Macaca mulatta: one gene and its partners. The protein of the gene in region 3 purifies or fractionates together with the protein of the main gene of each other region. This does not show direct contact. Links are inferred from orthologs where the notes say so. Each region holds a gene or a part of one and is shown on either strand. Other genes may lie near its edges.

Region 1 (5,550 bases), about 53 Mb from region 3:
TTTTGCTGTTTTGTTTCTGCACCTTTATTTGATCCAAAAGTGGGCTTTACTGGTAACACACATTGGCTATGTCACTGGCTTTGGCTAAAACATTTCTGCTAAACTGTACAATATATCCAGTTTAATCAACCACACTACCAGACAGATGTTTTTTCTCTCTCACAATGGCTAACTCACTGCTGAACAATCCTTCATGAAATATTTGAGTAAGTAAATCAAAACCTAGGGTATTTGATTAGAAATTTTGGTTATTAATGAGATAAAGATGGTCTGATATTTCTTCCCATCAAAAGTATCCCATTTCTTAATGAAACAGATCAATATTGAATGCTTCAGTCAATATTATCTACTCACCAAGCATTCTTCAAATGGCATGTAACTGCTCTTTTGTTATACTTCCAGAATAATTTGCAACTGTACAGATATTTTAGTTAGCAATTAAATATCAGGTTGTCTGTCAGATACTTAGTTGAAAAGTACACTGCTTAACATCCCAGTGTTTGGGACAGATAAGAAAGAAAAGTCTTTACATATTAATTAGTATAGAAAAAATATTTTTCAGGAATAGAATTTTGTGGAATAAAAAAATTTTGACAAAAAAACTTAAGCATATACAATATTTAGTACTAGATGAGCATTATCTAATTGCAATCAGATACAATAATAAAACTAGTTCTTTTTTTCAGTAGATAAAAAGGAACAAGAAACTGATACTTAGAACAAATCAAACAAATCACGAAGCACAGAATTTTAAAAAGTACCATAGCAGCATTAATATGCAGAATGTATGCTAAGGTTTACAGTATAAATTTCACTATTCTAATGTTAAAATAGGGAACAGGCAGATTATTTCCATACAAAATAATCTCAGAACACAATGAAATTTACCAGTAAAATACATTTAAAGCATGATTGAATATAATTCCACACACTGAAATTTAGTTACACATTTTTTAAAGTTGAAATTTAAGATAAATAATAAATCCTTTAAAGAAGTCTATTAAAATGCAACATAAAATTAAACGATTAAAATTATAAGGCAAGAAAAGAGCACTTTATGGCAAAATCAACCCAATAAAAAACAAAGTCAATATATCTTAAAATGTAAATTCTAGTTTAAGTTGAAAGTAATCACTAATAACTCATTAATGATTACAACTCATTAACTGTGGTAAAATAAACATCACAGGCTCTTGTTATGCAGAAATTTTATTTTTAACACAGCCTATAGAGTTGATCATCATATTATTATAAAATACTATTGATTTTCAAGAAATAATACTAAAACCTACCATTAAGTAGTAGGGAAAACACTGCAACACTTCGTTTTTATGAAAAGCACATGTTAGGACATCTTTCCTCATTTAGTAAGTTACTTTATACAACTAAAGGTCCATTTCAGAAGAATTACTACTTTTACATCGCAGAGGCAAGAACTTGATTAATAACGGTGAGAATCAAGTTCAGTGATAGTCACAGCCTGCTCAAGGAGAGCGTAAAGAAGCTTTCCATACATTTTCACAGGGTAAAAGGGCTGGGGGGACACAGGAAAGATCACTCTGCAGAATGGACCTTGAGTTTCATTTGGCTCTGCCTTCCATTAACAGTCTGGCTTGGGCAGACAAGTCAGTTAACTTTCTGAGTTTTAGTGTCTTCCTCTGTCAAGTGCACTTGGGCTCTTCCGTGTTACCTACAAAGTTAGGAAGAGCTAAAGGCAGCCCTAGTTTTACTTTTTAAAAAATAATGACAGAAAAATACGTAACTTGCTATTCATCAGTGTACTGTTTCCAGAGCTGAATTCCTAAGTCTCTGAAGCATACCCAGCTAGGGTTATACCAGTGAAGATCCAGATACTATAGTCAAAATGTCACTCTCTCCTCTCCCATTATTCCTCCACCTGCTCCTCCCCATCCTGCGTTATCCTCTCTTCTGGTGTGTTTTAAGAAGCAACGCCAGCAAACGGCTGTATCCATTGTAAACTTGAGGATGAAATCGTTTTAAAAGATGCATTTTCAATCAAATGTATCATCTGCTTCGCCAAATTCCTCCCAAATGGCTAAATTTTCATTAATACAATAAAAATGAGGTAACAACTTCGGAAACAGAAATGACCTGGGCCAGTTGTTTTGTTTGTTCTACTTGCTTAAAAAATAAAACGGAAAGATGTATCTATTCCCTCAGGAACATAAATGCATTACCCGCCCATTGAAAAAACAATTCTGCTGGTTCATTTCCCTGACACAACAGCTTCGTTGTCAGGCCCTCTCCAGCCCAGGCTCCAATGTCACCTAGTAATTTTATATTGATCACCTTGGCAGTGCTTGGACTCCAGCAGGCATAGTCCCTGTCTCCCTTACATTCCTCAAAAATAAATTAAATAAATAAATAAAACTCTACGAAACGCCACTGAACAGAGATTCTGTGACTTAGTAGACAAATCCCACGTCTTCCCGCCCTGTGTTAGGCAGCTGCAAATGTTATTTTTTCATCGCTTGCATAAAATGGAAGCGAAACGTACCAAAACCCTATATTTGAATCCTAGGACAATGAAGCCGACAGGAAGCCACTCTCTCCTCCCCCGGGTTTACTACGGAGCCAGAGCCTCCGCGGGGTGCAGTCGCCTGGCAGGGTGCATGACAGCGCGTCTTCCACGCCCTCCCAACGCGTCCAAAAGGCTCCTCGCCTGACCTCGCCAACGGCCTCACACCTCAAAACCAACCACACAAAAGGGATCGGCCCGCGGAACTGCTCCAATCGGGGAAAAATCCCTTCCCCAGCGACAGCGCAGCCATTCCCTCCAATGCTCCGCCCGCACCCCTCGCAAACTGCTACGGCGGAAGGGGGAGGGCTGCACAAAGCCAGGAGAAAGCTGAAAATGAGTCAATGCACTTAGGGGACGCGGAGGCGGCGGCAAGGGACTCGGGAAAGCCGGGGGGCCGCAGGACTGGAGCTCCCGAGGGCGGCGGGTGGGGGATGGGAAGGGTGGTCCCGTCCAGACCCCGGTCCTGGGCGGGCAGAGGGTGGGGGTGGCGGCGCCGCGCGGAGCATCCGGGAAGCGCCCCCTTCGCGGTCCAGCCCCGCAGCCCCGCACCCCCGCCCCGCGGCGGGCCGCGCCCGAGTCCTCGCTGCAAACCCGAGGAGCAGGACGTGGAAAAGCAGCCGCGGCGGCGGCTGCGGCGCCTACACCGAGCAGCCGATCGCATCACTTACCCCTCACAGTGGCGAGAGGGACCGGACGGGGGAGGCGGGGCGCGTCGCGTCCCGTGAGTCTCTCGCACGCCGTCCTCCCCCCACCTCGTCGTCGTCGCCGCCGCTGTTGTCGTCGCTGCCGCTGCGGTCGAGCTCCGGGGCCCTCAGCTCCGCTGGGCAATAACGTTATTCCACACACGCCCCACACATAGCGGTAACGGCAAAGAGCGGCTGCCTAGTGCGCAGGCGCCTCGGGAAAGGGCGAGGAGCCGGACCCTATCCCCTCCTCCTGCCCAGTTCCAACGATTCCTTACTGCGCAGGCGCCAGACACAGACAATGAAAAGGGGTTGTGCGAGGGTCTCACCCACACGTTTTTCCAGCTTGCCCACTGCGCAGGCGTGCCCCGAAAGACCAGCTAGAACAATGAAGAGGACCTCGGAGTTAGGTGGGACCGCAACCAACAAGGACTACAGTTCCCAGCGGGCAGAGCGCCAACTCCAAGTGGAGGTCCGGTTACTGGGCATGCTAGGAGTTGTAGTGTCGGCCGCCTTTACAATTTAGGCTGTTTGGAGGATTTAGAGCTTCTATTTCTTGAGGATTTATTCGACCGTTAAAAAAAATACCGCAACCGAAGCAGGGTTCAGAGGTTCCTCTCTGCGTCCTTGAGTAACCTAGGGATCAACTGCTGCATATTAGCAAATTCGAAGCGTCAAGGCCTTCAGTGAACCCTTTCTGTCATTTGGGGTGGTCCAGGCGGCAGAAGAGCGGGATGGAGGCGGGACTAAACCAGGCTGGGCTGGAGGAAAAGGGCGGGGCCTGCAAGCCTGTCTCTTGGCAACAGGCTCTGGCAGCCCAACCGTCCGAGCTAGCGCTTGGTGCGCAGTGGTCTCTGGGAATTGTAGTGTAGCTGGAAGGCTCTAAAGATTGTCGAGCTTGGAGGCGCTGAACATGAGGACTACAACTCCCGAGGTCCAACGCGAGGGCCAGTGGGTGGGAAGAGCCCCCACGAGCTTCGTGCGGGATTCTAGGCTCCCCTGTGACAGCCGCGGCAGGAAGCAGGCCGGCGCTCCGCGGCCACAGGCCTGCTGTTTTCGGAAGGGAGAAAGCTGGACATTTCCCCACGTAACTCCCAGCTCTGGGCCTAGAGTGTGTGCATGGCGAAGTCCCCGGAGAACTCTACCCTGGAGGAGATTCTGGGGCAGTATCAACGGAGTCTCCGGGGTGAGTTGCTCCAAACCTCTGTCCCTAGCCCCGAGGTGCCCAGGGCCTAGTGGGCGGAAGCGGACCAGGTGCGTCTCCTAACACCTGGGTCTGCCCCATCCAGGCTACAGAGGAGCAAGATGGATGTTTGCTGTGGTCTTCTGAGGAGGATGAAGTAGTTTGATTTAGTTTTTACAGTTAAGCAACGATGTTTCCTCAGATTCCCTTAGTTACCTGAATCAACTCCTTGATCTTGGCATCCTTCTCAACCAGCGACAGCAGAGACTCTTGGATAGCTCTATGTCATTTTTGCCCAGTTCCCATACTTTGTTGTTTAATCCAATAAAAGTCTGATGCACAGTTTTTACACATTTAAATTATGGCATAGTGGATTGAATGTGATTTATAGGATCCGTGGGGGGAAACACTAATAATTATTTTAATCACAACAGCCCCCATTTAATTGGTCTAGGCTATTTGCATACAGTAAATCATCTGCAGCTTACAACAGTTGTATGAATATTTTACACATGGGGAAATCGAAGCTCAGAGAGGTTGAATTACAGGCCACAGCCCACACAGCTGGTTAGTTGCAGAGCCAGGTATTATCAGGCTTGTCTGTCTTCAAAGCCTATCTAATCAAGCCATAACTACTATTATCAAAACCTTATTAATTCAGATTGTCTTACCACATTACCCTATGAGCAAGTATCTGTACAAGTAATGTCTGTATTTATTTTCTTTTAAGCTCTGTTGGACTTAATGTCTGTACTTTTAGATGGCGCTGTCACCTTGGACAATATATATGACATCTAGAAATTTCGATTCTCTTATAATGGAAGTTATGGAATTGTCCATAGGGTTATTGTGGGGAGCAAATGAAATAATCCCATAAAGCAGCGATTTTAAGACTCCTTAAAATGTTTACCTATAGTAAGAAATAAATTTTATATGGGACATATGTGTACATATAAACTATAAGTTTCAGTGAAGAATTTTTATTCTACTAAATATAATAAACTCTGCTTTCTATTCTGTTGCATTTTCATAACCCTCTAAGTCATGACTGTTTAGGACATTTGGAATACTAAGTTATGAAGCATATGTTGTTCTGCATAATATGCCTACTATGTGTCAGTGCCTCCTACTATGTGTTAAGC
Region 2 (4,775 bases), on a different chromosome or scaffold from region 3:
CGCATTTTGTTAAATGTAAATTTTACCTCGATCTTAAAAATGTAAAAAAATGGCTTTTTTTCTGGTTATAAAGGTAATATACCTTTATTGCAGAAAATTGGTAAAACACAAAAAAGTATAAAAAACAAATTTCTCATAAACACTTATCCCGGAGATAATCAGGATTCATATTTTGGTATGTTTCCTTTCTGTATATTCTGGTGTCTGCACACACGTACTCAGAATTCAGTGTGCCCTTTGTTTTTTCCTGTTGATTAATTCTCTGTCAGTTACCATAGAACATCAAGGAAATGCAGACACCGGGAATGTGAGTGCATTCAAAGTACTCAGCCAGTGAATTTGGGAAGACTTGTAATCATGAACTGCATCCGAAGTTGTGAGTCAGGGAGTGGTTTTTTAGGTTATTACTGTTTTTTAATCTGGAACTTAAAATGGTTTTCCAGTATTGAAAGCACCAAGCGGGAAGTGATTCTGCAGATCCCCAAGGATCCATCCATACGGGTACTCAGGCTCACCCTGCATTTGTTTCTCAAGCACGCATTACATTTGCTCGGACTTTCCCACAGGAGAGAATTCATGTTTCTCATCAACGACCTGATGCCAGCATTATGTAGAAATTATCCTAAATACTATTTAATCAAGCAAAAATAATATACTCATGGAGTACAAGATTTCACTTTCTGAAATGTATACGCGTCAGTTAACTAAGGCGATCCAGTAGCAGGAACAGCTGTTTTGCTTTGGACACCTTACTAGGGTGTCAGACCTGTGTAGACTGGGGAAGGCCCCTTAGAGAGGTAGCTGCCTAGGGCCTGGAGCTATAGGGGCTCCAAGTGGAGCAGATGGAGAAGTGAGCTGGCTAGCTAGTGAAATGAGGGCGCCATCTTTGGTGTGTGTCCCGGGCAGTCATGTGGCACAGATTGTGGCTGGCAGAGATCTGGGAGTGTGCGTTCTGGTGGCTGCAGGAAAGCCTTTGGTGAAGGACCGGACTGAGGCCCAGGAAGTTGAGTATTCCCAGTAGTTTCACTCCTTGCTTCTGTGGGCACCTCTGACACTGCCTCGCCACTTACACCGGAAACCATGAAACAGGCCTTTCCTTGTGGTATTTGTTTGGAAATACTGATCAAAGTAATCTTACTGGATTTAGAAAAAAATGATTAGATGATCATTTTAGTTAAATAGGAATTTCTAGATATCTGGTCATAACCCTTCATTCTGGCTAAAATTAAATGGTGTTTCCCCTGTGACTTTATTTCTTAAGGCAGCTGTTCACAGGGGATCCCAGATTATCTTACACCTGGAAGTTCTGATACTACTCACAGTTTTCAGGTGTTCCTTTCAAAAGGTCAAAACAGGCTGGATGTGATGGCTCACGCCTATAATACCAGCATTTTGGGAGGCTAAGGTGGGAAGATTGCTTGAGGCCAGGAGTTTAAGACCAGCCTGGGCTACATAGGAAGACCCTGTCTCTACAAAATGTTTTAAGAAGTAGCCAGTTGTGGTGGCACCTGCCTGTAGTCTAGTTACTCAGGAGGCTGGGGCCTGAGGATCACTTGAGCTCAGGAGTTAAAAGTTGCAGTGAGCCACAGTCTCACCACTGTACTCCAGCCTGGGCGACACAGCAAGACCCTGCCTGGAATAAAAACAATAAAAAACACCAACTCTCAAAACACTTAGGAAGATGTTCTTCCCTCCAAGGATTTAGCTAGCGAATACCTGTGTTCTTCAAGGCAATAACATGTTACGATTTTGTTTCTGGGCAACTCTTTTGCTCTCAGAGATTATAAAATTACTATTGACATTGATGGGCAGTGGTTCTTAAATTTGGGTGCACACCAGAATTACTGCAGAAGGTTTTAAAAATTCAAATTCCTAGGTTCTGCCCCTTGTACTTTGAGTGACTCAGCCAGTCCAGAGCCTTGCTACTCAGACTTCACACATGGGATCATGTTAAACGTACAGAAGCACAGGCCCCTTCTCAGACATAGAATCTGTTTTGATGAGGCCCCAGGTGGTACGTATGTATAAACGAGCAGAGCGTCTTCATGTCGGACATGCTCCCAAGGCTGCTGGTTGGTGGATCAGACTGTGAGAAGCATGGTCTGTGAATCTGCATTTTTCATTCTGATACAGTCGAGAAAACCACCTATTATTTAGCAGCTTCTTAAAAAGTTAAATATAGATGTACCATATGACCCAGCAGTGTCCAGCCCTGGATATCTCCCCAGGGGAAATGAAAACATGTTTCCACACAAAGGCCTGTACACAAATGCTCATAGCAGCCTTCTGCATAATCGTCCCAAACTGCAAACAGCCTGAGTGTCCATCATCTGGTAAATGGATAAACAGATGTGGTTTATCCATACCGTGGAAGATGACGCAGCCGCAAGAAGGCATGTGGTACTGGCCCACACTCCAGCACGATGACCTTGATGGCATTATGCTAATGAAAGAAGCCAGATCTGAAAATCCACATATTTTATGACTCTGTTTGTATGATATGTCCAGAATAGGCAAATCTGGAGACAGAAAATAGATTAATAGTTGCCTGGGGATGGAGGCAGAAGTGAGGATTAACTGTAAAAAGATGTGAGGAATTCCGTAGGGAGGATGAAAATGTTCTAAAACTGGATTATGGGCCGGGCGCGGTGGCTCAAGCCTGTAATCCCAGCACTTTGGGAGGCCGAGACGGGCAGATCACAAGGTCAGGAGATCGAAACCATCCTGGCTAACATGGTGAAACCCCGTCTCTATTAAGAAATACAAAAAACTAGCCGGGCGAGGTGGCGGGCGCCTGTAGTCCCAGCTACTCGGGAGGCTGTGGCCGGAGAATGGCGTGAACCCGGGAGGCGGAGCTTGCAGTGAGCTGAGATCCGGCCACTGCACTCCAGCCTTGGTGACAGAGCGAGACTCCATCTCAAAAAAAAAAAAAAAAAACTGGATTATGGTGATGTTGCACAACTTAGTATACTAAAAATTCAGATATGTACCTACAGTAGGAATATTATAAGTAAATTATACCCTGATAAAGTTTTTTTAAAAACCATGTTAAAAAAGAAAACTGGCCAGGTACAGTGGCTCATGCCTGTAATTCCAGCACTTTGGGAGGCCGAGGCGGGCACATCGCTTAAGTGCAAGAGTTTGAGACCAGCCTGGGCAGCACAGTGAGACCCTGTCTCCACCAAAAAAAAAAAAAATTAACAGGGCATGGTGGCATGCGCCTGTGGTCCCAGCTACTTGGGAGGCTGAGGTGGAAGGATCACTTGAGCCCAGGAGACAGAGGTCGCAATGAGCCGAGATAGCGCCACTGCACTCCAGCCTTTGGACAGAGAGAGACCCTGTCTCAAAAAAAAAAAAGAAAACCTCTGATCCAGGGTAGAAGGAGCAAATGAGCTTGAAGCCAGGTTCAGGCTTCAGGTTTCAGTTGGCCTTTCATAGTTCCACCGGATTATGCCTGTTGCTTTCCTGCATAAATCTTTCAAAAATCTGTGTACATCAATGGCCTCATGTGGAAATGATACTAGTCTTTCAAGCCTTTCCAATGGCCTGAAGTACTAAAATGGCTGTGATGGTTGTTTTACAGGAAAAACATGCAGAGGAACAAACAGGTAGCCATGGGCAGGAAAAAATTTAATATGGACCCTAAAAAGGTAAGTGAGAAAGAAGCGGGAAGTGGTCCATATTAGATGGGGTTTTTTTAATAGTGCTCAGATAGACCCTAAAAACGTTTCTTTCCAAGTGTTACAGTTCATGTTGCCGTTTTGTAGAGCAAATGTTATGCGCTAAGCCCTTGTTCCTAAACTGTGACTCTCCGGCTTTTTAGGTCAGCTAGCAACTATTTATTAAATATTCCAGTGCGCCCACACCCATTTCTTCCTGTGCCCTTTCCTCTTCTTTTTAGCTGTTTCCCAGCAAAGCATCATTGGCGTCTTCATTGTCTTTTTCTAGGGGATCCAGTTCTTAATAGAGAACGACCTGCTGAAGAACACTTGTGAAGACATCGCCCAGTTCTTATACAAAGGCGAAGGGCTCAACAAGACAGCCATCGGAGACTACCTAGGGGAGAGGCAAGGCCTTGGGGATGCGCGCGTGCTAGGGAAGGCTGTTCAGGAATGACACAAAGAAACAAACTCCCAAATACGCTTTAGGTTCTTGGAGGGGTTTTTGCCTTAAATCATCTGTAGCCACACTGCTGTTGAGGGGAGGCTTTTCTGGGGAATAGTGGTGGGTCTGTCCGGGAGTCATGGGGACATCGAGCTTGTTTAGCCAGTCAGCAGAGCTAGCCAGTCTTCTTGCTGACAGTGTGCGAGAGTAGCTGTCTGGACAGCCACAGGACGGAGTGTGGGAGACATGGCCTGGCTGGAGATTCTCAGTGTCAGTGTCTGACTCCTGCTTTCTCTCCCATTTTTTGTCTTTTCTCGATAGAGATGAGTTTAATATCCAGGTTCTTCATGCATTTGTGGAGCTGCACGAGTTCACTGATCTTAATCTCGTTCAGGCACTACGGTGAGTATTCTTGAGGTGAGCCGCTTTGGAAGGAGTGGGAGGCCACCCTTTGATCATGAGTCTGTTCTGGGTGCCATTTTATTGGAATTATATCTTTGGGTATGATTTTGAATATTTTGGAGTATTTTGGAGGGAAGAAATCTGTTGGTCTCTGACTGGAAACGACTGGATGGTCAAGGGGAATTCAGTTCTGTTACGTTCCGGAGGCAGATTCTGTAACACTCTTTTTGAGTCTTACATTTGAGGTTTTAGAAATTGATGAATACTTA
Region 3 (5,446 bases):
TCTCTACCGGGTGAGGATTTTAAAACCTCAGGCGAGGCAGCTGGAATTCCAATATGTAGAAGTTCTAGAATCCTAGAGAGGGAGATCAGGCTGTTCTTTTTATCCCAGACATTTTCCCCCAGGGGTATCAAGGCCATCACTTCTCTGTTTATTATTACATCCATCCCCCAGCAACGCATGTTCATGGGGCACTGACAGGCACTGACCTGAGCCCAAGTCCTGTTCCCTACTCCACAGGAGGTCCACTGTGACCCTAGACCCTAAGCCCACTCCCCAAATGCAAGGAACCAGAGACCAAAATGGAACTTATTTCCTACAGAAAAATAAGCCTCAAGGTCTCCCTTGAGGAGAGACCTCCCGACCCCCAAGCAAATGGGAAACTGGAATCTAGCCTATTTCACAGAGGGAAGCAGAACTAAGGCTGACTGTTGCCTGTCCCTAGCAGGCTGCACCCCTCAAGTCTTCATCTTACCACCTCCCTTTCCCCCCACTCTCTGATCTTCCCACCATTCCCCTCACCCAGATTCCAGTGCCTCAGTATTTGTCTGGATTGCCTCCCCTCCCCCAGACCCTAAAGAGCCCTGTCCCCCATTCCCCACTCCCCACCCCCGAGTGCAGAGAAGACAGAGGAAGTTTGCTTTCACCAGGCATCTCCTGTGGAGCAGAACTCATGGGACTGGAGTCCGCCAGCATCCCCCACAGCTCCGGTACACACACCCAGCACACCTTCACATTCCTGTACACACCCTTTTTCCAAACAATGCTAGCCCCAGAGTGCTGCGGGCTGACCACCTCATTTTCTGCCCAGGCTGAGGCTGAGGGGCCCTAACAGGGGACAGTTCCTCCTCCCCCTACCCCATGGGGAGCTTGTTCTCTGGGTCTCCCAAAGAGCCTGCAGTCCTGCCCTTCCCCAGTCCTCCATGACACACAGTCCCTCCCCATAGAGGCTTGGCACTTTCTTACAAAGTCAAACAGAGAGGGGTTAACTCTGGGCATAAGCGGCCCTTCCTCCACGTTGCCCACCCCCAGCTCCAGGTGGGGGTTGGTGGAAGTTTCTAGAATTGGCTCACAGTTCACATTTCTTAATGCATAGAATAAAATTAAGAAGATCACTAAAAAAGTCAATTGTATGACATAAAGTTCTAAAAATAAAAAAACATAGCAATATATATGCTTCTTTATTAACATTAAGCAGGGTCTAGCAGTGGGTAATTTCATACAAGGGCTGAGTGTAAACAATATTTCAAGACAGCTGTGACTGCAATGTGATATGAAACTGTGAAATCTATTAATGGCAAAGTCACAGGTACTGCCAATGCTACCGTGATTTGTTGTCTTCACAACTAAAGGTGATGTTAAAATCTGTTAAAGATTGGTGAAAAACAATTATCTTTTTTTTCCTCACCTAGTTTACAAACCCTCTGAATTCTATCTACAGATGCCTAATGCCAATGAACCCAGTTAAGAATCCCTGCCCTCAGGTAATCCACCATCTCTGACTTCAGGGGAGGTTAGTACAGATGCTCAATCTGTTTGCATTGATCCTTTGGAATTCTCAAAAACGCCTTGCTCCCCCAAATTCACACTCAATATTTCCCAACCCTGCAGAATCTGAGGTTTGGAAGGGAGCTGGCAAACCAAACCTCCTGCCAAGAATCCCAGGGAGCCATCCTTGGAGCTCTCTGATAGCCATGTCATTCAATTCAAAATACTAATGGGGGAGGTGGGCACTCCAGAGGCCAGCTGGGAATCTGAAACAGCTCCCCACTCCAGCCAGGCTGGGGAGTCAGGGGACTGATGCCCCAGCCCCAAACCCTAGAGCACCATCCAGACCACCAGTTGGTGAGGAAGTGGTATTTCCTTGCAAAACATTATAGTAGTTGGAATCTGATCTTTGCAGACAAGAGCCCTTCCCCAGGGAAGGGAAACTGGACCTCTTTAGTGTTTTCATTTCCTAAGGAAAAGTCCCGAATCAGAAAGCTCTTCCCCAGCGCTGTAGCCACCCACTCTCCATTTTTTTAAAAAAAGTTCCTTCTTCTAGCGTCTTCTGATAACACCAGATTGGAAGTTCTTTAAAGCAAGGGCCTGATCCTACCATCTTCACATCCCCAACAGCCCCCAGCAAAGCAGTCTCAGGCACTGCTAAAAATCTTACTTCATGAATTAAGGAATCAATGGCCAGCGCTAGAGCCAACAGTGAAAAAAGGAAGAAGTGAAATAGCCCGGGACCCTCCAGGCAGGAGGGGTGGGAGATGGTTCCTTCACTGTTTTCTTACTTGCATCTGCTCCCTGCTCACTAGGAAAGGTGTTCGCCTCCACTAAGCAAAGGTGGAGTGGGGAACTCCAAGCCAGCCTGGAATGCGCCCTGAAATGAGACCTCTAGGCTTTCTCTAAAAAGCCCCTTTGTCCTGTCCACCCTGCTCCCCTCCCCCACCGCGCCCTCCACATCCAGGCTGGCCCGAGACTTTGCTCCTTTTGTTTGGCTGCTTTCTGGCTTCCCGGAACCTGGCCAGGAAGATCCACAGGCACGAAGAAGGTCGACGGAGAAAGGTTGAGGGGCTGGGAGTGTGCATTTTTGGTAGGAACTCAGAATTCCTGCCCCCTTGATACATAACCCCATTCCCTGTAGGCACCCTCCCTCCGCTAAGGCTGAAGACCATGGGTTCAGGGGCCCGATCCCCCGCTCCAGTTCACCCGCGCTGGGTGCCCCGAAGTTTTCCCGCTTACCTGTCCCATGGAGCTCTGGCGCCGCCCGCCTGCCCCTGCGCCCTCCGCTCCAGCCTCGCAGCTTCAGGACCTGTTTGTCCAGGCCATCTTCCCTCCCCGCGAGCCTCCCCGCGGCCTGCCCTCCCCGGAGGTATTTCATTTAACTTCGGCATTTGCAGCATCCCAAATGTTAAAGATCCCAAGACATCTGTCCCCTGGGGCATACCAAGGCCCAGATGAAAGAGGGGAAGACGCAAGAAGGGACTGGAGAGTCCAATCCAAGAGTCGGGACGGGGCCGCATGCGGGAGTGACGAGGTACCCGCAGGGGTGCGCGAGCTGCGGGAGCAGCCGCTCGAGGGGCAAGGCTGTCCCCTTTGCCCCGCTTTCGGACGCCCGCGCGGCGGGACACCCCCGGCGCCGCCAGTTTCCGCAGCCCAGGCGGGACGAGGCTTCTCTCTTGGTCCCAGTGCCGCCTTTCATTCGCGCGCTCTGGCCTGGCTGGGGCCAGTTTTCATTCCTGGAGACCCCCGAGTGGAAGAATGAAAGGAGCCTGCGGAAGGGCGCTCCTCCGACCCTGTCCTCCCCACAAGCGCCCTCCCCCTCGCTGTGCCGCGCTGCGGGCGGCGGAGCCCGGGTGTGTGGGTCGCGCGGGGATGGCCGCTCCTCCCCGGCCCCGGCCCCGGCCCACTCCCACTCCTCCCGCCGGGGCCGCTGGCTGAACTCGGGCTGGCTCTGAAGGGAAGGAGCACCCTCTCGGGGAGCGCCTCCTGCTGCCCGCTGCGAGCTGCTGTGTCCCCGTTCATCCATTCATTCACTTCCCAGTTTTCACTTGTTACCAAACATTTATTGAGCATCTACTAGTGCCCAGCCCGATGGATCAAAGCTCAAGCCCTATTCACTGGAGGAGTATCCAATCTAGACGAGTGATGAAGCAGCACAGTATCTGAAGTAAGGGCTGGGACCCCGGGCAAGGAGAGGGGAGGCTGACCCAGGCTGAGCCTTGGCAAAGCTTGGCCAGAGGAAGCAATAACAGAAGATAAGAGGGGGCTTGAAACAGCAGTGACAGGTGTACAAAAGCACAGCAGCAAGGGAGCACAGCGGGTTCCAGGAGCTGCAGGGAGGTTAGGGTTTGGGATAAGGAAGGAGTAAAGGGAGAGAATATGGAAGAGAGACGAAGCTAATTCGTCAGTCAGGGGCTCATCCAGAAGCAGGGCAGCAAGGCGCAGAGGCTCACACCTATAATCCCAGCACTTTGGGAGGCCCAGGCCAGAGGATTGCTTGAGGTCAGGAGTTGGAGATCAGCCTGGGCAACATCGTGAAAACCCGTCTCTACCAGAAAATAAAGAAATTGGCCAGGAGTGGTGGCACACACCTGCAGTCCCAGTTACTTGGGAGGCTGAGGTAGGAAGATCACTTGAGCAGGGAGGCGGAGGTTGCAGTGAGTCAATATCCCGAAACTGCAATCTGGCCTGGGAGACAGGGAAAGACCCTGTCTAAAAAAAAAAAAAAAAAAAAAGAAACTCACAATGAACGACCAGGCTCGGTGGCTCACACTTGTAATCCCAGCACTTCGGGAGGCCAAGGCGGACAGATCACCTGAGGTCAGGAGTTCAAGAATGGCATGGGCAACATGGTGAAACCCTGTCTCTACTAAAAATACAAAAAAAAATTAGCCAGGCACAGTGCTGGGCGTCTGTAGTCCCAGCTACTCAGGAGGCTGAGGCACGAGAATTGCTTGAACCCATGCGTCAGAGGTTGCAGTGAGCTGAGATCACTCCATTGCACTCCAGCCTGGGTGACAGAGTGAGACTCTGTCTCAACTAAACACACACACACAACAAACAAACAAACAAAAGTAAGGCAGCTCCATGTGGTTGTCCAGGTTGTGCACCATACTAAGAGGGAAGGTTCACCATTCTCCACCCACCTCGCCCTGTGTTTGGTCAGAGTTGTATCTGCCTAGAGAGGGTGGCTTTTTCTAATTTGTACAAAGGCAATATATGAGCTAAGATGACTAAGAGCCTTGTGGGCTAGGTGAGGATTTAAGATTTTTATACTGAAGTTGAAGAGAAGCTACTTGAATTAATCAGTGTTCTCCGAGAAACAGAACCAGTAAGATGTGTATGTATAGATAGGTAAATAGACAGCTATATCGAGAAAGAGAGAATGCAAGAGAGAGATTGATTGATTTTTAAGGAACTGGTTCATTGGATTGTGAAAGCTGGTACGTCCAGAATCTGCAGGCTAGACTCTCAGGCTGGAGACCCAGGGAAGAGCTGGAGTTCAAGTTTGAAGGCAACCTGCTGGCAGGATTCATTCTTGCTCCAGAGAGATCAGACTTTGTTCCAACCAGGCCTTCCACAGATTGGAGGGTAATCTGCTTTACTCGAAGTCTATTAATTTCAATGTTAATCTCATCTAAAAACACACACAAAAAAAACAAAACAACAAAACACCTTCTAGAAACATCTGAAAAAAAGTTTAACCAAATATCTGGGCACTGGGCCTAGCCAAGTTGACATGTAAAATTAACCATCACACTGCTGAAAAATGTTGACCCAGGAGATGAACTGGACAGACTGACCTTTAGAAAATGAATGGCCTGTGAGTGGTTGGAGTGGGGAGAAAGCATGGGCAGGCACGAGTGCAGAGTGCAGGTGAGGGCGATGGCGCCTAGACTCCCGTTGTGGCAGTGGGGTGAAAGTGGGTCAAAGGCGGAGGGAAGAGGTCAAGGGCCTG
Region 4 (4,775 bases), on a different chromosome or scaffold from region 3:
AGCTTGCACTGCAGGGCGACCACCTCCCAGGACCCCAGCCACGGCACGCGGCCTCGGGGATGCCATCTGGGCCACGGTACACTCTGGAGAAGCAGCTTGCACCGCTGGGCGACCGCCTCCCTGCCACGCCTTCCGCGGAGGGGCGGCCCGCGGTGTCTTTCTGCTGGGGTTGGGTCTTTTACCTGGGTCTTGTAGCCAGGAAAGCTATTTTTTATTGGCAATCCTTCGTTTCCTCGTTGCCAACATGTCATAGAAAGGATCCCTGCTGATACTGGCTCTGGTGAAAGAAGGAAAACATGCAGGTTAGGTCGTGGGTGACACACAGACCTTCCCTTCCCCACCAGCCCCAGAGGCTCCTGGGACAGGACCGCAGGCTCAGATCTGAGCATCGGGTTTCTGGAGGCAGAGGGTCCGCTCTTGCACACGGAAGCATCCACGTTCCAGACATCCTCCGCCCTCCAACCAGCATGAGAAGACAGGCCTGGCCCCGCCCCCGAACCCCGCTCACTTGATGGATTTCATCCACTCCTCCTTCTCCTCCGGGCTGGGGGCTGAGATCCGGTACACCACGTGGTTCCCCTCTACTACGCGGCCGTCCGCCTCCGTCTTACAGGCCTTGATGACCTGCCCTTTGTGGCTGGGATTGTAGAGCTCAAAACAGTTCTGGTGGAGAAAGAGAGGGGAGGCCGTCACAGGGGCTGGGGGCCAGGTTCCCTGCAGGCAGTGAGGATGGCTCCCAGGTGGCTGGCAGGAGAGAAGGTTCAGGAGGGAGCTTACGGGTTTCCGGGGGTCCTCCACCTCCCTGATGCTGAGGTTTTCCAACGGGATGATTCCCCTGGGCTCCTTATCCTACAAGAGAGAAGTACACGGGCGCTCACTGTGCGCCACCAGCCTGGGGGTCCCTCGGCCCCAGGGCAGCTCCGTGACTGCCGGGAGGCGACCAGGAGGCCCAACCTTACTTACTGTTGTGTATTCAAAGTAATAGAGGCAGTTATCAGTCAGGATGAACCACCTGCGCTTCCAGGTCTTCACGCGTCCTCCTAGAAGCAGAAGGGCCCCGTGAGTGTGTGCTCCGTGCACAGGGAGCCCGCGGGTCCAAGAGGGGGCCCTGGACCTGCACAGACCACTGCGTTTTCAGAAAGGCTGCCAGGCGCCAGGCTCGGGTTTAGGTGCCCTTCGGTGTTCCCACCGCGGGGCCCCGCATGCACCCACCCCGCCCACACCGGTGCCCCTCCACGGCACCGAGGGGCCCCCTGATGACACGACCGCACTCCAATTCGCTTCCTGGGAGTTAGTGGGATGGATGGCGTCATTTCTCCACATGAGATGGCAGCGTGATGAAGTCAGGACGGCTCGCCGGGCTCTGTCCAGGGCCTGACCCACCATGTCAGGTGGCTGTCACGTTACAGAGGCCCTTGGGCAGCCCTGGGATCCCCCAAACTCAATCACCCCTGGGCCCAGGGAATCGTGAGACTGAATTAATTCTGTAACAAGATCCGGAGCGCACGCGCGTACCCCTATCTGTACCTGCCCTCCTCTCACTAAGGGAAGGACATCTCTGATCCTTAAACACTGAGCAGACACAAACTGACTTCAGCTGCTAGCCTTGCCTGTGTTTGTTTTTTAAATAATTCAAAGAAACGCACGCGCGGGGCAATGAACTCAGTGCTCCCTGGGGTACTAGGCCGCTCTGCCCCACGCCTCCCCAGCGCCGCGCAGCTCACCCGGCTTTCTCTGTGACAGGCTGGCAGGGGAGCGGCCTCCCTGTGTGGGGGCCAGCACGGGCGCTGAGGCCTGGCGGCAAGATGCTGTGAGAAGGGCTCTGCGGATCACCCGAAAGGTTTCCCTTTCGGGGCCTGGTGTGCAGAGACCCTGGGTGAGGAGGAACCAGCTGCAGGTGGCAGGAAGCCTGGCTCAGCCGTACTGGCGGCCGGAAGGGGTCTCCGCAGCCCCTCTGGGATCCTCCGGCCCCTGCCTCACTCAGCACTGCCATCCTCCATTGATGCCTAAGGCAGCCTGCAATGTGGTTGCCACCGCCAGCCTGGGACAGAAGCCCAGTCTCCAGCTGTTCCTCGCCTCCCCACAGGCCCCAGTCTCATCAGTGTCCCACCAGCCCACCTGTTAAATCTAGACCCTGGTCTGGGCAAATCTGCCCCCCAAGCTTCCTGCTGCATCTCCCCAGCCCTCAAACCCTGCCCCCAACATCTCTCCTGAGCCCTGGCGGGGCTTCCACTCCCCGATCCCTGCAAGCTGCTCCGTCTGGAACCCACTGCCCCAACTGTGTGGGGCCGCCTCACTGGTCCCCTGAACACCCAGCCAGGCCCCAGCAAGGCCCAAAGCCCTTGTTGCCCTCGTGTCCCTGTCACCACGGGCTCCATGCTCCATGCAAGCCCTCGGCCTTCACCTTCCCCACCTCCGTTGCAGCATACCAGGGAGGCCTAAGTCCACAGGGGAGGGCAGGAGACCCTGGGGGCAACCCCGCCTTGTCCCTCAGTCCTCCAGTGAGCAGGGAGAGGCATTTTATGTCCCCGAGACCCTGGGGACAGGGGGACAGTGCTGATTCCTTCCAGGCACTTGCTCCAGCTCGAGCTGCTGTGGCAGAATCAGCTGACAGCAACTCCACTACCCTGACATCGGTCGCTGTCACAGTCGCCTCTGCTTCCCTCCAGAGACTCCAGAGCAGGCCCTGCTCCAGCTACACTGGTGCCAGCTGCCAGCCCCCAAACAGCAGCCAGAGGCATCTTTTCAAAAGCGTGTGGCGATCGTGCCCCTCCCGGCCTGACGCCCCCGCAAAGGGTCCCACTGCACTCGGCTTTAGACCCAACTCCTTGGGCGGCTGCAGGGGCCGCCCTTCCTGGCTCCCCAGCTGTGGCCTTTCTCCCTGCCCAGCTATCTGAGTCTCCAGTTCTTGGGGAGCTCATCCAGGAGCCCCCAGGTTGTGTGCTTCTGTCCAGCACCTGCTCTGTTCCTCCATGCTCCCGGCATGGTGGACAGCGATGGGCCTGTATGTTCCACTAGCCTGTCTACCTGGCCCCCGCCTGGGAGGGGTCCGCCTGGGAGGGGTCTGCCTGGGAGGGGTCTGCCAGGCGGCCTCTCAGCTCCACCCTCAGGTCCCCTGCTCACACCCCCCATGGACAGCCCCATCCCTGTCCAGTCCTCAGGGCCAGGGGATGGTTGCAGACCAGGACTGCAGGCCCAGGGCAGTGGGTGGTGAGCTTGGTCTCAGAGCCCAGCAGGCTCTGCTCGTGCTTGCTTCTGGCCACGCCACACAGCATTCTCGCCTGCAGACAAGAGCCTGGTTTCTGGAACCTGCAGACGGGAGCCACTTTCTCTCTGCAAGTTACTATTACCACTTTCTCTCTGCAAGTTACTATTTTCATTGAGCAGGCAGGTGCGCACACGGATCCACACGCACAAACACAGCACGTGCACACACTTTCTGCATGATAGCTTGGATTGGACCACCTCCTGTTTTTTGTGTGTGTGTGTGTGTGGTAATTGATTCAAGACTCAAAGTCTTAAGTTACCAACAATCGTAAGCCACGCCTGTGTACACAGCAGGGTTCCTACGCTCTGGCAAAGCATCCTGGCCTTTTTAAGACCACCTGCTCTAAAAGCCAATCTACAGTAAGAATACAGCCAAGTCAGGTCGCGCTCCCTGCTCAGCGCATGCCTGGAAGCATTCTAGATCCTGCACCCGTCTCGTCTGCCTCCAGCCAGGGCCCTGGCTCGCCAGCCTTTGGTCTCGAACTTTGCTTCTGAGAACACAGTAGGCACACAGGGTGCCTGGGTGGGAGAGGGCAAGGAAGCCAGCACCCTAGAGTGGCAGCCGCTCACCGGGCCGCCCACCACACTGAGGCCATGCCAGCTGCACCAGCCCCTCCAGGGTCCCCGCGCTTGGCACCCGACACCCAGCCAGCTCTTGGTTCCCGTGAGCGCTGTGTGCACTCATTTTGTGGCCTGTTTATCTGCCCAACCAGAAAACAGGTTAGATAACACGAGCTCTGCTGTGCCTTCATTTCATTCACGCATTTACATCTCCAGAGCCGACCCTTCCCTGGTGGCACAGGCCACATTAACTGCCAGGCAGGCTGACGGCGTCACTGTCCCTCGAGGGGACACTGGGGGGCAATGCAGGAACCAGAAGGGAGGCATCTAATCAAACGAACGTCCCACTTATCCCATCCCCAGAGCACCTGCTGCTGTTTCCGGTTACATCCCCCCCGCCCTCACTCTAGAACCCTCACACGAAGTGATCTGATCTGGTCTCTCAGGCACCCAAGCCCAAGACCATGGTGGGAGGTTTTCAGGCAAATACCTAGAACTCCCCTAAACCTCGGCAGAGCCAGAAAAAAGTCAAAGAGCAATGGCCAAGTCGAAGACCCTAATGGGAAAGGCAGACCTGTGGGACTCACATCCCTTCCACCAGCTGAGGAAGCCTGTGCCTGTCACACAGTGTCTCATCCTTCCTCGATAATTGTTATTTTATTTATTTATTTTTTTGAGACAAGGTCTCCCTCTGTCGCCCAGGCAGGAGTGCAGTGGCACAGTCATGGCTCACTGGAGCCTCAACCTCCCGGGTTCAGGCGATCCTCCTGCCTCAGCCTCCCTAGTAGCTGGGACTACGGGCACACACCATCGTGCCAGGCCAATTTTTATTTTTTTGTAAAAACGGGGTTTCACTATATTGTCCAGGCTGGTCTCAAGCTCCTGGCCTAAGCAATCCTCCCGCCTCAGCCTCCCAAAGCAGTAGGATTACACACATGAGCCACTGC

Evidence for each region.
Region 1: the proteins of INAVA (region 3) and CEP170 purify together in Homo sapiens (co-immunoprecipitation; 3 studies listed by BioGRID and IntAct, counting the BioPlex papers as one, with this or other methods). This does not show direct contact. The link is inferred for Macaca mulatta from reciprocal best matches to the Homo sapiens genes INAVA and CEP170.
Region 2: the proteins of INAVA (region 3) and CYTH1 purify together in Homo sapiens (co-immunoprecipitation; 3 studies listed by BioGRID and IntAct, counting the BioPlex papers as one, with this or other methods). This does not show direct contact. The link is inferred for Macaca mulatta from reciprocal best matches to the Homo sapiens genes INAVA and CYTH1.
Region 4: the proteins of INAVA (region 3) and CYTH3 purify together in Homo sapiens (co-immunoprecipitation; 3 studies listed by BioGRID and IntAct, counting the BioPlex papers as one, with this or other methods). This does not show direct contact. The link is inferred for Macaca mulatta from reciprocal best matches to the Homo sapiens genes INAVA and CYTH3.

The regions. Positions count from the first base shown.
Region 1 is NC_133406.1:5,892,068-5,897,617, reverse strand, and holds the start of CEP170 (centrosomal protein of 170 kDa), read right to left. Parts: upstream 3,432-5,550; 5' UTR 3,211-3,431; intron 1-3,210. Other genes in the region: SDCCAG8 (serologically defined colon cancer antigen 8), read left to right, coding at 4,345-4,411.
Region 2 is NC_133421.1:88,384,992-88,389,766, reverse strand, and holds part of CYTH1 (cytohesin-1), read left to right. Parts: intron 1-3,583; coding exon 3,584-3,650; intron 3,651-3,948; coding exon 3,949-4,067; intron 4,068-4,425; coding exon 4,426-4,506; intron 4,507-4,775. UniProt on the Homo sapiens protein: Promotes guanine-nucleotide exchange on ARF1, ARF5 and ARF6. Promotes the activation of ARF factors through replacement of GDP with GTP.
Region 3 is NC_133406.1:58,538,201-58,543,646, reverse strand, and holds the start of INAVA (innate immunity activator protein), read right to left. Parts: upstream 3,436-5,446; 5' UTR 3,009-3,435; coding exon 2,728-3,008; intron 1-2,727. UniProt on the Homo sapiens protein: Expressed in peripheral macrophages and intestinal myeloid-derived cells, is required for optimal PRR (pattern recognition receptor)-induced signaling, cytokine secretion, and bacterial clearance.
Region 4 is NC_133408.1:44,864,025-44,868,799, reverse strand, and holds part of CYTH3 (cytohesin-3), read right to left. Parts: intron 1,041-4,775; coding exon 964-1,040; intron 850-963; coding exon 778-849; intron 664-777; coding exon 509-663; intron 278-508; coding exon 205-277; 3' UTR 183-204; exon of another isoform or gene 1-182. UniProt on the Homo sapiens protein: Promotes guanine-nucleotide exchange on ARF1 and ARF6. Promotes the activation of ARF factors through replacement of GDP with GTP. Plays a role in the epithelial polarization.